Elephas maximus indicus: one gene and its partner. The protein of the gene in region 1 purifies or fractionates together with the protein of each later gene. This does not show direct contact. Links are inferred from orthologs where the notes say so. Each region holds a gene or a part of one and is shown on either strand. Other genes may lie near its edges.

Region 1 (7,701 bases):
TAGAAGTCCACAAGAAACAAAATATAGCCTTGAGTATATCCCATCTGCATCTGGAGACCATTTCAGGAACAGATTTGATGCTTTGAACACTAACGACCAAAGACTAGATGAACTGTGGAATGACATCAAGAACATAATACATGAAGAAAGCATGAGGTCATTAAAAAGACGGGAAAGAAAGAAAAGACCAAAATAGATGTCAGAAGAGACTCTGAAATTTGCTCTTCAACATAAAGTAGCTAAAGCAAATGGAAGAAATGAGGAAGTAAAAGAGCTGAACAGATGATTTCAAAGGGTGGCTCGAGAAGACAAAATAAAGTAATATTATGAAATGTACAAAGACCTGGAGTTAGAAAACCAAAAAGGAAGAACACACTTGGCATTTCTCAAGCTGAAAGAACTGAAGAAAAAAATTCAAGCCTCGAGTTGAAATACTGAAGGATTCTATGGCCAAAATAATGAATGACACAGGAAGCATCATAAGAAGATGGAAGGAATACACAGTCACTGTACCAAAAAGAATTGGTTGACATTCCACCATTTCAGGAGGTAGCATATGATCAAGAATCAATGGTACTGAAGGAAGAAGTCCAAGCTGCACTGAAAACACTGGCATAAAACAAGGCTCCAGGAATTGATGGAATACCAATTTAGATGTTTCAACAAACAGATGGAGCGCTGAAGGTGCCGACTCATCTATGCCAAGAAATTTGGAAGACAGCTACCTGGCCAACGAACTGGAAGAGATCCATATTTGTACCCATTTCAAAGAAAGGTGATCCAACAGAATGTGGAAATTATCAAACGATACCATTAATATCACATGCAAATAAAATTTTGCTGAAGATAATTCAAAAATGCAGCAGTACCTTAATAGGGAACTGCCAGAAATTCCAGTGAGATTCAGAAGAGGATGTGGAACGAGGGTTATCACTGCTGATGTCAGATGGATCTTGGCTGAAAGCAGACAATACCAGAAAGATGCTTACCTGTATTTTATTGACTATGCAAAGGCATTCAACTGTGTGGATCATAACAAATTATGGATGACATTGCGAAGAATGGGAATTCCAGAGCACTTAATTGTGCTCATGCAGAACCCGTGCATAGACCAAGAGGTAGTCATTCCAACAGAACAAGAGGATACTGAGTGGTTTAAAATCAGGAGAGGTGTGCGTCAGGGTTGTGCCCTTTCATCATACCTTTTCAATCTGTATGCTGAGCAAATAATCTGAGAAACCAGGTTATATGAAGAACATGGCATCAGGATTAGAGACTCATTAGCCACCTGCAATATGCAGATGACAACCTTGCCTGCTGAAAGAGAAGAGGACTTGAAGCACTTACTGATGAAGATGAAAGACTACAGCCTACAGTATGGATTACACCTCAACATAAAGAAAACAAAAATCTTCACAACTGGACAAATAAAGTAACATCATGTCAAATGGAGAAAAGTTTGAAGTTGCCAAGGATTTCATTTTACTTGGATCCACAATCAACAGCCATGGAAGCAGTGGTCAAGAAATCAAAAGACGCATTGCATTGGGCAAACTGGCTGCAAAAGACCTCTTTAAAGTATTGAAAAGCAAAGATGTCGCCTTGAGGACTAAAGTGTGCCTGACCCAAGCCATGGTGTTTTCAATCACCTCATATGCATGGAAAGCTGGACAATGAATAAGGAAGACAGAAGAATTGACACTTTTAAATTGTGGTGTTGGTGAAGAATATTGAATATACCATGGACTGCAAAAAGAACAAACAGATCTGTCTTGGAAGAAGTACAACCAGAATGCTTCTTAGAAGGGATGGCAAGGCTACGTATCATGCACTTTGGACATGTTATCAGAAGGTATCAGTCCCTGGAGAAGCACATCATGCTTGTTAGAGGGTCAGTGAAAAAGAGGAAGACTCTCAACAAGATGGATTGACACAGTGGCTGCAACAATGGGCTCAAGCATAGCAACGACTGTGAAGACAATGCAGGACTGGGCAGTGTTTTGCTCTGTTGTGCGTAGGGTTGCTAAGAGCTGGAACCAACTCAACAGCACCTAACAACAACAACAACATGGGGCTGCAGTCAGATAGATGGCAGGAGGGACTGGAACATCCCAAATGGCTTCACTTGCAGGTCTTGTACTTTAACGTATATTAGATGGCTGTAAGGATGGGCTCAGCTTGGACACTGGGAAAGGTAGACCTCTGCCCCTCTCCATGTGGTCTCTCCAGCAGAGTAGCTGAACTTCCAAAGCAACTCAAGGCTCTCAATAATGCAAAAGGCTGAAGCCTAGAGCTGGCAGAGAATCATATTCTGGTTAAAGCTTGGTTTAGAACACTTAGGGTAAGTCACAGAACCAGCCCAGTCAAACGTGCGGAAGAGCAGGGGACTAACAAGGCCATGATACGAGGAGGCACAGACCACTAGCGGCCTTCTTTGGAAACTAGCTACCATAGGTGATTCCATGATACCAAGGCCCTTAACATTTCCATTTCTTCCTGCCACTGTGAGCACTCACAAACACAACATGACTGGATGTTCTGTCTGGAAAGATCATTCTGGCAATGGAGAGGAAGACGGCTAGGAGAAGGGGAAACCAAAGGTTTTGCGAAAGTACACTTTGGTGGTGAAGACCTGAAGCAGGCAAGGAGCGGTGGGCTCAGTGAGCAGTCTGCGGGGAGGGGACAGGTGGTCTGTAACGTCACAGGGTGTGGAGACGCCATCTGGGGCAGGGTTAGGAAGCACGGGGGAGGGCAATGGGAGAGAGGAAGCCAAAGGAATATTTGTGGCATTTAGGCCATAATCACATTTAATTGTTAGCATTCGTAACATACTAGTTGAAGTGCACTTTTCTACAGTCATCAGCAAACTATTTCAGCACAGCTACTTCACAGCAAGAGGATGTGAATCTAACCCAAATATGACTAATTAACTTTGAGCCCAGTGGGTGACTCTCTAGTTTTTTATATCCTGACCTAATACACAGAAATGTGTGCATATATATATATATGTATATGTACCAGAATATACCAGTTGTCATGGCAACCCCAGGTGTTTCAGAGTAGAACTTACTGTGATCTTTCAAAAGCAGATCACCAGGCCTTTCTTCCGAGGCACTCTGGGTATATTTGAAAACTTTGCACCACCCAGGGACTCCTTTGTATGTATGTAAGTGTATACACATACATACATATACACATATATACATTTGTATGACTGCTGAGACAAAAGTTTTCCAAATCACTATCCCTTACTCTATTCTCTTTAATCTTTTTTTTTTTTTTTTTTAATGCTGGCCATGACTGAGTAAATTAATTCTGCAATCCATTAATGGACTCTGACTTCTGGTTTGAAAATCTCAGCCCCAGTAAAGAAACACCTGAAACTCCAGGAAGATTTTGGATGAAGTATAGAAGTAATACACTAAATTAAAGTCACTGCATTAATATTCTCCACTACATTTTGGAATCATCTATTTAATTTGCTATTTTAAGTATCTATTTTATACATTTTTTTTATACGGCTTAAGAGAATTTAACATACCGGATTATGTAATAATCCATTTTTGCAACTCCATTCTAAAATGTGAAATAAACTAATTCAGACTCGTGATAAATTGGTAAACACACAGAATGCAAACATTTCAAAAGCAATATTGAGATTATGAAGTTTTAAAAATCACTGCCCATATTTTTAAGTTTCATGGGTTCTGTTTGTCAAGTAACTTAATCGCTTAAGAAGAAAATAAATGTCTTATATTTATAAATGCAGTCTAATTGTGGGAACTTCAAATTATTAAGTTCCCTTGAAATTATTATTTAAATTCACCAGGAAACTTGCTACTTACGGGACGATTTATAACTCTAAAATTAACTATTAAAGCCAGAGTAATTTCAAAACAGACTTCTGCGTGCCCAAAAGCCTCCCTGGAGTACGGGAAAGCAGCTCGCCTCACTCGGATGTGAAGAATCTAGGACCGTCCACGCGGGCGAGCAACACGTGGCTCTGCAAAAGGAGCTGGGGAGCAGGAAACCGTCCCAGCAACAAGTGGTATGGTCTTTTCTACTTTACTGCCACCCTCATTAAAAGCAACAATAATAAGTTTACAATTGCTTTTTAAACATAAAAAAAAAAAAAAACCCCAAGAGGCACGTTTCTTGCAGGGTCTACGCCGGCTGGCCCCAAACCCGGTTCCAGTCCCGGGAAGGAGGAAAAGGTGCGCGGCCTGCGGGGCTTGGGGGGCGGGCTGGGGGAGGGAGAGTCGCCCCTGAAGGGCAGGCGGGTACGGAGAGCCCTGCGGGACGTGGAAGGAGGGGTATGGGATCCAAGACCACCCGTGGAGCCCAGAGCGGGCTCCGCCACCGTTTCTGTAGGGATGGTCGCCACGCCCCATGCAGTGCAGCCCACACCTATTTCACAGAGCTCTGCTGCCTGTAACTTATATGATCAAAACATGAAGAACCTGGACTGTTATCCAGAAAAAAGCGCTTTTGCGGCCTGCAGCGCCCGGCCTCACCCCGCTCAGCCCCGGCAACCGCACCAGCCCGCTGCAGCAAGGCCGGAAAAGGCCGGCTACCCCTTGGCGCCACTCTCCCCACACGCCGCCCTCGCCCTCTAGGCGATACCATCCCAGATGCACCCCTCCGGAGGACCCGAAATGGTGCCGTCCTCGGCCTCTGATTGGCTGACTCGGCGAGGGCGTGGCCTCCGGGGCCAGGTTCCGCGCGCTGGAGCCCGCTCGCCGCATTGCGAGCCGGGCAAGGAGCGAGCGCCATGGTGAGGGCTGGTTGTGGGTTGCGGGCGAGGCGAAGGCCGTGGCCTGGGCCCAGGCTTTGGCGCGGACCTAGGCCCAGCCGGTGTCTGCCTTGGGATCGGGGGCCCGGCGAACGCTGGGCCCGCGCTGATGCTCGAGCCCCGGCTTCCGTTCCAGGTGCTGCTGCACGTGCTGTTTGAGCACGCGGTCGGCTACGCGCTGTTGGCGGTAAAGGAGGTGGAGGAGATCAGCTTGCTGCTGCCGCAGGTGAGTGGAACCGGTGAGTTCGGCAGCCGGAGGGGCTGCAGCGCGGTCGGGCGAGTCCCCAGCGCAGGCCCCAGCATGCACCGCGCGTTCCCACGTGGTCGGCTGTGTGGAGTGGGGGTGGGGAACGGGCCTGGAGAGCTGTAGAGCCAGGGTCCTCGCCTTGGTTCATGACAAGAATAACTTTAGGAGCTTTTTTAGATAAGCCATTTCTTTTCCATTACGGACTAAAGCAGAACCTTGAGAGATGGAGCCCAGGCATCCCTGTGTTTTAAAAGCTTTCTAGGTGGTTCTTGGATGTGTCCAAGCCTGAGAACCTCGGCTTCACTGCGGTTTAGAGTCAAAATAGTCAAAGAGTGTCGGAAGGAAACCGCTCATCCTGTTTCTCCCACCCCAGGTGGAGGAGTGCGTGCTCAATCTGGGCAAGTTCCACAACATCGTTCGTCTCGTGGCCTTTTGTCCCTTCGCCTCCTCCCACGTTGCCTTGGAAAATGCCAACGCCGTGTCCGAAGGTGAATTGGCCACCCCGAAGTTTTAGGGGAGATAGGATATGTGATTCCTGCTGCAGTTCTCTTGGGGGATTTGTGATAAAAAAAAACGAAATGCTGTCATATTTAAAGCTATCTCTAGAATCGAGATTTTGTTTTCTTACGAGCATTGGGGTGGTAAATAATTCTTAAATGAAATCTTGGGTGGGTGGGGGACCCCGGTTTAAAGCCCATTTGTGCCCGAAGCTTGCCTAAACCCAGTCACCTGAAGGGTTCCCTGCTGCATCATTCATGTAGTTGAATACATGTAAGCCAAGAAGACTGTTCTGAAACAGTTGTGGTCCCAGGAGACAAATAAGATACTTGCTGCTTTTATCATGCTGGAGCTTGTGTTTTAAGCTTTATTTGTATATTCCAAACTGGTGCTGTTGGACCTGAGCCCTGTTCCTCCCCTAGTTGAGCCAGGCTTTGCAGTGATGACTTGTGTCTGTCAATCCCCTGAGTGCAGTCACTGATGTCTCCATGTCTCTGAGCAATGCCTGAAGGGGGAGGGTGCCTAGGCATGGCATCCCAGCATGCTCTGCAGAACCAGTTTAAGATCCGCTATCACTTAATCAGCTCTGTAACAAGACAGGATCCCTTCTATACTTTAAATGTCCTAAAGCATGTTAGTAAGCGGTGTTTTTTTACCTGGAGGTGTTGTTCATGAGGATCTTCGCCTGTTCTTGGAGACATACCTGCCATCCAAAAAAAAGAAAGTAGTCTTGGGAGTTGGGGACCCCAAGATTGGTGCTGCTATACAGGAGGAGTTAGGGTACAACTGCCAGACTGGAGGTGTGATAGCTGAGATCCTGCGAGGTGAGAACATCTGTGGCACTTATGCCATTCTTGACAAACTTGGCCGGCGGGGGAGGGGGGTGGCGTCCTGAAGGTGCTTAAGATTACTTCTGGAGGCCTTGCTTGCCTGATGGGTGCGGAGCTAGCTCAGGCCCTTTCCATGCTCATAGCCCTACCCTTCTCCAGGAATTCGCCTGCACTTCCATAATCTGGTGAAGGGTCTGACTGACCTGTCTGCTTGTAAAGCTCAGCTTGGTCTGGGACACAGCTACTCTCGTGCCAAAGTTAAGTTTAATGTGAACCGGGTGGACAATATGATCATTCAGTCCATTAGCCTTCTGGACCAGCTGGATAAAGACATCAATACCTTCTCTATGCGTGTCAGGTAAAGTACAGGGGCAGTCCCAGAAAGTGGGGTCTTTGGCCTGTAGTTTAGCTAATTTTGAATCCTTAGATCAGGTCTGGGAAGAACCAGGTGGGGAAGGGGTTTGGCCTCCTTGTGCTTACCACAGGCTGTGTTTTTGCACTGACTGTATAGAAAGGGGAGGCAGATAAAGTACCCCATATACACCTCAGCCCAGGCCTTGTGCCTGGTTTGTATTGTGAATGGGGCAACATGGCATTGAGGAGGCTTTAAATCTGACTGGTCCCATTTTTTCCAGACATGTAGTAGATAAGGGGAGATGTGGTAGCTGGTCTAGGGAGTGACTGTGGCTCCTTGCAGGGAGTGGTATGGCTATCACTTTCCGGAGCTGGTGAAGATTGTCAATGACAATGCCACGTACTGCCGCCTTGCCCAATTCATTGGAAACCGCAAAGAGCTGAACGAAGACAAGTTGGAGAAGCTGGAGGAACTGACTATGGACGGGGCCAAGGCCAAGGCCATTCTAGATGCCTCACGGTCTTCCATGGGTCAGTGCAGAGCCTGGCAGCCAGGTGTAACGTGTGGGGCTTTGAATGTCTGGTTCCTGCATTCACATTTGGTGTTCTCTAGGCATGGACATATCTGCCATCGACTTGATAAACATCGAGAGCTTCTCCAGCCGAGTGGTGTCTCTATCAGAATACCGCCAGAGCTTACATACTTACCTGCGCTCCAAGATGAGCCAAGTAGCCCCCAGCTTGTCAGCTCTCATTGGGGAAGCGGTATGTCATGGGGGGCTCGGGAATGTTACCATGTAAGTCTGCGCTGCTGTATTTTCTGACTTGCCATATCTTCCCTAGTTGTGCATGATGGGGAGGAGGTAAGCAGGGATTATGTAATTCTTAGGTCAGCAGTTTCAGCTTCTGACTTCTTTGTGTCTTTCTCCAGGTAGGTGCACGTCTCATTGCACATGCTGGCAGCCTCACCAACCTGGCCA
Region 2 (7,104 bases), on another chromosome or scaffold:
GGTCCTCCTCCAGGCGGCTCCTCAGGTCAGCACCAACCGCCCCCATCAGATCTAGGGGTGGGGGGGAGGGTGTGCTCGGCTTAGCCAGTCGCCGAGCGGCCGGTCTGAGTCAGGCCAATGAGAGGGCGTGGGGCGGAGCCAATCGACAAGCGAGCTTGTCGCAGGGGCAGGCCGAGGGAGAAGTCGAGAACAGCCGGGGGCATCGCACCTCGCGAGACCGGCCGCCATCCTAGGTGAGGGCACACGCGCAGCAGAGGGGGCGTCATAGTCCCAAAGCCGGCCCTGAAGCTGCCATCTTTGTCAAGGGCACGTGAGCCTGTCCCATCCATTAAGTTCATAAACGAGATGACACAAGGGGGAGGAAACCTTTAGCTGCAGAGACAGACAGCCTGACAATACAGGAACATGGTAATAAATGCTCAGAGACATGCAAAGGGGTAGTAAAACACAGAGATTCAGCGAGGCAGAAACCCAGAAAAGCAGAAAGAGTCAGAGACAAGGGAGATTTCCGTTACAAAAAGACAGATTCAAAGAAAAGCAGACATACAAAGAAACGAAGCCAGCAAGAGTAACAATGAGCAAGGTAAGGGCACAGAAGACCCAGAAAACGACACACTTCTGCAATGAAAACCAGGGAAGAGAGGCTCATTAATTCACAAATTATTTATCTTGGGCTCAAACCAGAGCAGAGGTAACATGAGATAACCATCTGCCCAGTAAATGACTCAAGTCAGTGGCTTGCTTGTCTAGACAGAGATACAGAAGAGAGATAGAGAGAGAAACTTCCAGGGGATGGGGAAGGGCTTGGGGGATAATTTTGGAGGTCCAGAGGCTGAGAGGGACTGAGACCAAGAGAGACAGAAAGCAAAGATGTTGACAGACACAAAGAGGCAAAGGCATGGTGAGACTGAAAGGATGCACCAAACCCGTTGCTGTCAATTCCGACTCATAGTAACCCTATAGGACAGAGTAGAACTGCCCCATAGGGTTTCCAAGGAGCACCTGGTGGATTTGAACTGCTGACCTGTTCATTAGCAGCCATAGCACTTAACCACTTTGCCACCAGGGTTTCCCAAAAGGAAATAAGGTAAGGCTATATCAGGAGACTTGAATCAGAACTGTGGAGAGACACACAGAAAGAGACAAGGACAGAGCTTTGCTAAAAAGAGACAAATGGAAGAAGTTCTTTTCTTGCCAAACAGTATACTTCGCATCCAGCCCAGGGTAGCAACCACCACCGCCACCACCATTTACCATCAAGTCGATTCCAACTCGTGGTGACCTGATGTGTGTCAGAGTAGATCTGTGTTCCATAGAGTTTTCAAGGGCTGTGATCTTTTGGAAACAGATCACCAGGCCTTTATTCCAAGGCACCTCTGGGTGGATTTGAACCACCAACCTTTCGGTTAGCAGTCGAGCATGTTAACCATTTGTATCACCCAGGGACTCCTCCAGGGTAGCAATATCACCAGATAATAGTGCCAAGGAATGCCCCAAAGAAAGGCGGACGGAAACCCAGTGAGATGGAGAGACACAGCATCAGAGCTTGGGACCCAGTAGAGAGAAAAGCAGACAAAAAAACCTAAGGCTCAAACATGGAGACCAAGTCACAGAGACCAGGGAACAGGGAGGAGAAGGAAAAGGAAGCAGAGAAGAGGGCCTGGAGCTCCCCCAAAAGGAGGCAGATGAGGGGCTCCAGGCCTCTCATACGGAGTTGCTGTATAACCTCAGGAAAGCCCCTGGCTTCTCTGGACCTCAGTTGCCCTGTCTGTGACATGGGGAAAAAGCAAAATCCTACCGCCTGGAGAGAAGGTCTGACATGGAAGGGCCTTGGGTGATGTGTCTCACGGTACTGCAGTCTTGGCTTTTACATGGGCCCTTACCTGGTCCTGCTGTTCCTCTGCTTCAAGGCATCCATTCATCTGCCTGCCCTCTATTCTGTCACCACATCGCCAGGACCCAGGACCTGGGTCTGAGGCCACTGGGGATGGGCAGGGGGGCACAGCAGGGGAAGCAAGGAGTCAGGCACCACGATCCAGGCCTGGCCTTTGGCTCTGTGGAGGAGAGGAACAGTGAATAGGTGCATCGAGGGCAGACAGCAGGAGATATTGCCGGGTGTGCTTGAACCTCCCAGGCAGGGCCTCCCTGAGGAAGGAGGAAAGAGAGGGCAGGTCAGCAGGACTTCAAACCAGTTCTGCATGGTTCAGTCATGGCTGAGGAAGCATCACCAGAAGAGACTCGAATGGGAAAAATTATGAGTCAAAGCCCAGCTAGAAACTTAATCTCCCTCTCAAAGAATAAGGGCAGGTGTGCATTGCATAGCAACCAAATCTGTTGCCCTCAGATTTTGAGCACAGTCCAAAGCAGCGTTGTTCCGCTCAAAAATGGCAGCCGACCGTGCTGCTTTGAGTGTGTGCTATTCTCCACAGTTCTGCCAATAATCCAATTTCACGCGTCATGCACCTGAAAGGGCTCACTATTTCTCTTCGGAGTCTCCTATTCCAGGGCTTCGACCTGTAATTTTTCCTGTTCCAGGTACCAAATTGTAAAACTTTGGATCTGTTCCTGTTTCGCTTCCTCAGCCATGACTGAATCTGTTTGAAGCCCTTCAGGTCAGCCTCATTACTGCCCCAGCCAGTCCATCTGATCACACTCAGTAAGAGTTAATTTTTGTTGTTATGTTGTTGGGTGCCATCAAATTAGGTTCCAACTCAGAGCAACCCCATGCACAACAGAACAAAACACTGCTTAGTCCTGTACCATCCTCACAATCATTACTATGTTTGAGCCCATTGTTGCAGCCACTGTGTCAATCCATCTCATTGAGAGTCTTCCCCTTTTTCACTGACCCTCTACTTTACCAATCGTGTCCTTTTCCAGGGATTGGTACCTCCTGATAAGATGTCCAAAGTAAGTGAGACAAAGTCTCGCCATCCTCACGCCTACGGAGTATTCTGGTTGTGCTTCTTCCAAGACAGATTTGTTCGTTCTTCTGGCAGTCCAGGGTATACTCAATATTCTTTGCCAACGCCACTGAGCACTTATTACATGTACAGCATTGTCCTAAGCACTTTTATTAATTCATGATTCTGGAAACCACTCGCTGTGGTAGGCCTATTCTCATCTCCATTTTGGAGGTAAGGAAAATAAAGCACGGAGAGACTAAGTGACTTGCCCAAGGTTATACAGTAAGCAGCAGAGCCAGGATTTGAATTTGGTTACCGGGCAAGGCACCATCTCACATCTATATCTCTTCTTCTCTGGGTGTCCAACTTCCATTCTCCCACCACTACCAACGTTATGTCCACTCCCCACCCCAAACTGTCTACTCCCCTTTAGGTCTCCGCACTTTATGGATCTTTTTACCGGTCCTCACTCCCACCCCTACCTCAATCGGGGTCTCAGTGCACTTCCTCTGCTTTCCAGTACTGTGCATACCCCTCGCACCAATGCCCTCTGGGCCACTGAACCTCTTTGGTGGAAAAAGGTTGACCTCAGGTGACGAAAGATGGGGGTGGTCAGGGCAGGGCCATCAGGAGACAGGAGGAAAGTGGAACCGAAAAGGTGGAAGTACAGGGTGCTACAGACTAGGCTACAGCAAGAAGGTCTCGGGTTAGACCTCGAGAAGGACTTCCTGACCTGCGGCCAAGCTTGGGGTGCAGTGCGAGATAAGGAGGACGTGAGGTAACTCAGGAAACGCCCGAAGCTTAGGGTCAGAGGTTTTCCGAGGCCTGAACTAGCCTCACCTGCCCCGCTTCCTCACCTCCAATACTCGGATCGCCGAGTCCTCCGGAGCCAGAGAGAGGTCGTCGGCGTCGGGCCAGAGCGTCAACCCGCTACGCGTCCTCGTAGCTCCGCGGAACATCTCTCTCGCGCTCAGATCCTTTGCTTCCGACAGAGTATAGAGAACAGGGACTGTTGAGGGCCAGAGAGGCATCCGACGTGCTAGCCCTTCCTTCCGCGACGTCGCACTTGTTCCCCTTTGGTTGTCGCTCCGTCCTATTCCGTACTCGCCCATTTAGCCGGTCCTCCGACACACCACGAAGAGGCCGGGTTGTGGTAGAGCGCCGCGTGGCGCTCATGTGACGTCACGCGGGCGCCACTCTCTGGAGGCTTTCCCCGCCCACACCCGCCTCGTTCTGTCTTTCCAAACCCGGGCTGAGCAGGAGGCGCCATCATGGTGAGCACATCTGGTGGCGTTCGGGACTTGGCCATCCGCCGCCATCCGCCGCGATCTTGGGCCGGGGGTCTGCCGGAGGGGGCCAGGGGTGCCAGGGGTGTCCGAAGAAGTTGATGCCCGAGGCGGGGAAGGCTATGTTGGCATCCTGGGGGCCGGGAATCGGTCAGGATCACTTCAGTCTCCAGTCCCTTCCGCACTTCTTTATTAACTGCTCCATAAATAGTTGAGCACACTCAGGTACAGAGAGATTAAGTAATATGATTGGGGTTACAAGGCCAAGAAGTGGCGGAGCCGGGATTCGGGCCCGGCTGCTGGCCTTCGGGCACTCTTAACTGTTTATGTTTATTGACACTACCACTACTTGCCACTTTTCAGCCTCGAGAGGTGGGTTTTCTGGGGAGTCGAGGGCCAAGTGCCTAGGCTTTGGAAACGGGCAGACTTCCGTTGGATTCTCGGCTGCCTGGCTGCAATGTGATTAAAAAAAAAAAAAAAAATTGGTTAGGGCCTTGTTTTCCGGGCTTGTGCCTCGGTTTTCACATCTGTCCATAGGGACCACAGTCCTATTCTGTCTCATGGGTTTGTGAGATAAGAAAGAAGTAACTCATAAGAAGGGCGCATCTGCAATAAAGCAAGTGTTGTTAACACCTAAGTAGCTCTTTACAGTTATTAACACCATCTTAAAACCTCAGTTACTCTGAAAACCAGGCAGAGGTTGCAGCGGGAATTGTGGGGTTTCTTTAGCAATTGGGGATAATAGCAGAAACAACCTCAAGGTTGTTAGATTCAAAGAGTTAATGAAAGGTAGTTCTAGATCGATACAGAGGGAATTCTTAAAAAAGAAAAAAAGAAGCGTTGTCAGTTGTTATTTAGCGTGTGTCTTAGGTTAAATGTTTGCGTCACTGCAGGTGTGAGAAACAGTTTTTAGCAATTTAAATAATACTTAGTATCGTTATAAAATACAACTTCTGAAGAGTTGAACTTTTTTTTTTTTTTTTGGTTGCGGCAATACAGCTCTTGTGTTAAGAGTTTTGACAATTTGTTCTGTGCAAAAGGTTTTGCGTGTTGATTGTCCCCCTTTTTTGTCCCTTAAGCCCCAGAGGTTTTTAAGTGACTCACCCAGAGGTCTCCCAGTTGTGGAGCTGGGATTTGAGCTGTTGATTGCAGAGACTTGGGCCCCAGCTTGGTCTTGGTTTCTGGGGTGAGTGATCTGCCAGACCCTGAGTCCAGTCTGTGGTCTTGCCTTCACCCCCCTAGGGAGTCGACATCCGCCACAACAAAGACCGGAAGGTTCGGCGCAAGGAGCCCAAGAGCCAGGACATCTACCTCCGGCTGTTGGTCAAGGTGAGGCTGGGACCTGAGTCTCAGGGGTAGGGCCACCCCAGAGCTGTGACTTGGCAGCGCTTCAGGGGCCCACATGGCAGGCTCGAATCTCTGGTTCTGTCCTTGTGCCCAGAGCTTCTGGAAGGCTCATGTTTCAGCCTGTGAGCTGTATTCAGGTGGGGAGGGGGTTTCTGGGTCCTTGGGCAGGGGGGACCTGAACCAGCTCTGCCCCTTGAGCTCTGTAGGATATGGGAAAAGCTCAGTCAGTGGCTGCACAGGCCGTAGGAACACTTCTAGCCTGAATCATCATTGATTTGTCCCTTCACTGGAAAGTGGGGAGTGGGAGTGGTGGGCTGCCTGAGGTTCTCATGCCTCTCCTTCCTTTCTCCTCCAGCTGTACAGGTTTCTGGCCAGACGAACCAACTCTACCTTCAACCAAGTTGTGCTGAAGAGGCTGTTCATGAGCCGCACCAATCGGCCACCCCTGTCCCTTTCTCGGATGGTGAGAGGTTGTTGCAGGGAGGGCTTGGGGTAGCGGCCTGGGCGTCAGCTGCTTTGTTACACCCAGTGGTGGGCGCAAAGCTCTGGCCTTTGGTTGTGGCGGGATAGCCTTGGGCAAGTGGCTTGGCCTCATTTCCCCTCCTTGTGAAGCTTGTGGCTTCCTCATGAGGTTGTCCTGAGGCTCAAGTGTCTTAGAAAAGCTTTTGATAGGAGAGACCTGGTGAACAGTCTGTGGTTATATGTTCTCATTTGTGGATTTTCCTAAGCTAGACCTGAGAAGTCCCCTGCTATTTAGGGAGGCGTGTGTGAGTGGGCTTAACCTCGTCAGAGGGGATAACTGTTTTGGTCCTTACGCTGCCTGAGGCAGGGGGATTGGATTTAAACACCAGAAGGGACTTCTTATTTTGTGCATTCCCCCTCTCCCCCAGATCAGGAAGATGAAGCTTCCTGGCCGGGAAAACAAGACGGCTGTGGTCGTGGGGACCATAACAGATGATGTGCGGGTTCAGGAGGTGCCCAAGCTGAAGGTGAGTAGGGTGGGGGCTCCAGGGCACAGGCTCAGGGTGGAGGTGTGCAGACCTGACCTGCATCCTTGCTCTGCCATGTGACATGGGCCTGTGAAGTGTCCCTGGTCGCCTCTGGGACAGGCAGGCAGCAGGCCTGTCCAGGCAGTGTTTAGGATTGAACAGTGGTGGCCCTTGGCAAGACCTTTCTGGCCTTCAGTTTCCTCGTACACTGGTGATACATTTGCTCTCAAGCCAGACGACTGGGGTTCAGATCTGGATCTTTGCCATTCTGTCTTCTCTGGACAAAGTTTGTAATCTCTTTATGCCTTAGCTTACTTACGTGTAATAACACGTGAGGACGGTGGTGCCTGCTTTTCAGGACTGCGGTGGTCTTAGGTGAGTCTAGACGTAAAGTGGTAAGAATAGCCACTGTCAACTTAGGAAGCCTCTGGTAACCATTGGTTGTGTTATCAAGCAAGTAATTGGGGCCACTGGCAGCCAGGGCAGTGGATGCTGAGTCCCGGCACCCCCTAGGGTGCTACGCGGTGGGCCCTGACCCCACCTGTCCTTTCCTTCAGGTGTGTGCGCTGCGCGTGA

The links.
Region 2: the proteins of NOP56 (region 1) and RPL18 purify together in Homo sapiens (affinity purification with mass spectrometry; 4 studies listed by BioGRID and IntAct, with this or other methods). This does not show direct contact. The link is inferred for Elephas maximus indicus from reciprocal best matches to the Homo sapiens genes NOP56 and RPL18.

Annotation. Positions count from the first base shown.
Region 1 is NC_064843.1:41,254,234-41,261,934, forward strand, and holds the start of NOP56 (nucleolar protein 56), read left to right. Parts: upstream 1-4,698; 5' UTR 4,699-4,771; coding exon 4,772-4,774; intron 4,775-4,928; coding exon 4,929-5,018; intron 5,019-5,412; coding exon 5,413-5,527; intron 5,528-5,971; exon of another isoform or gene 5,972-6,039; intron 6,040-6,199; coding exon 6,200-6,361; intron 6,362-6,526; coding exon 6,527-6,725; intron 6,726-6,830; exon of another isoform or gene 6,831-6,960; intron 6,961-7,064; coding exon 7,065-7,252; intron 7,253-7,334; coding exon 7,335-7,486; intron 7,487-7,652; coding exon 7,653-7,701. UniProt on the Homo sapiens protein: Involved in the early to middle stages of 60S ribosomal subunit biogenesis. Required for the biogenesis of box C/D snoRNAs such U3, U8 and U14 snoRNAs. Part of the small subunit (SSU) processome, first precursor of the small eukaryotic ribosomal subunit.
Region 2 is NC_064829.1:99,008,007-99,015,110, reverse strand, and holds the start of RPL18 (60S ribosomal protein L18), read left to right. Parts: upstream 1-4,096; 5' UTR 4,097-4,177; coding exon 4,178-4,180; intron 4,181-5,434; coding exon 5,435-5,521; intron 5,522-5,894; coding exon 5,895-6,002; intron 6,003-6,429; coding exon 6,430-6,528; intron 6,529-7,085; coding exon 7,086-7,104. Other genes in the region: SPHK2 (sphingosine kinase 2), read right to left, coding at 1,884-1,922.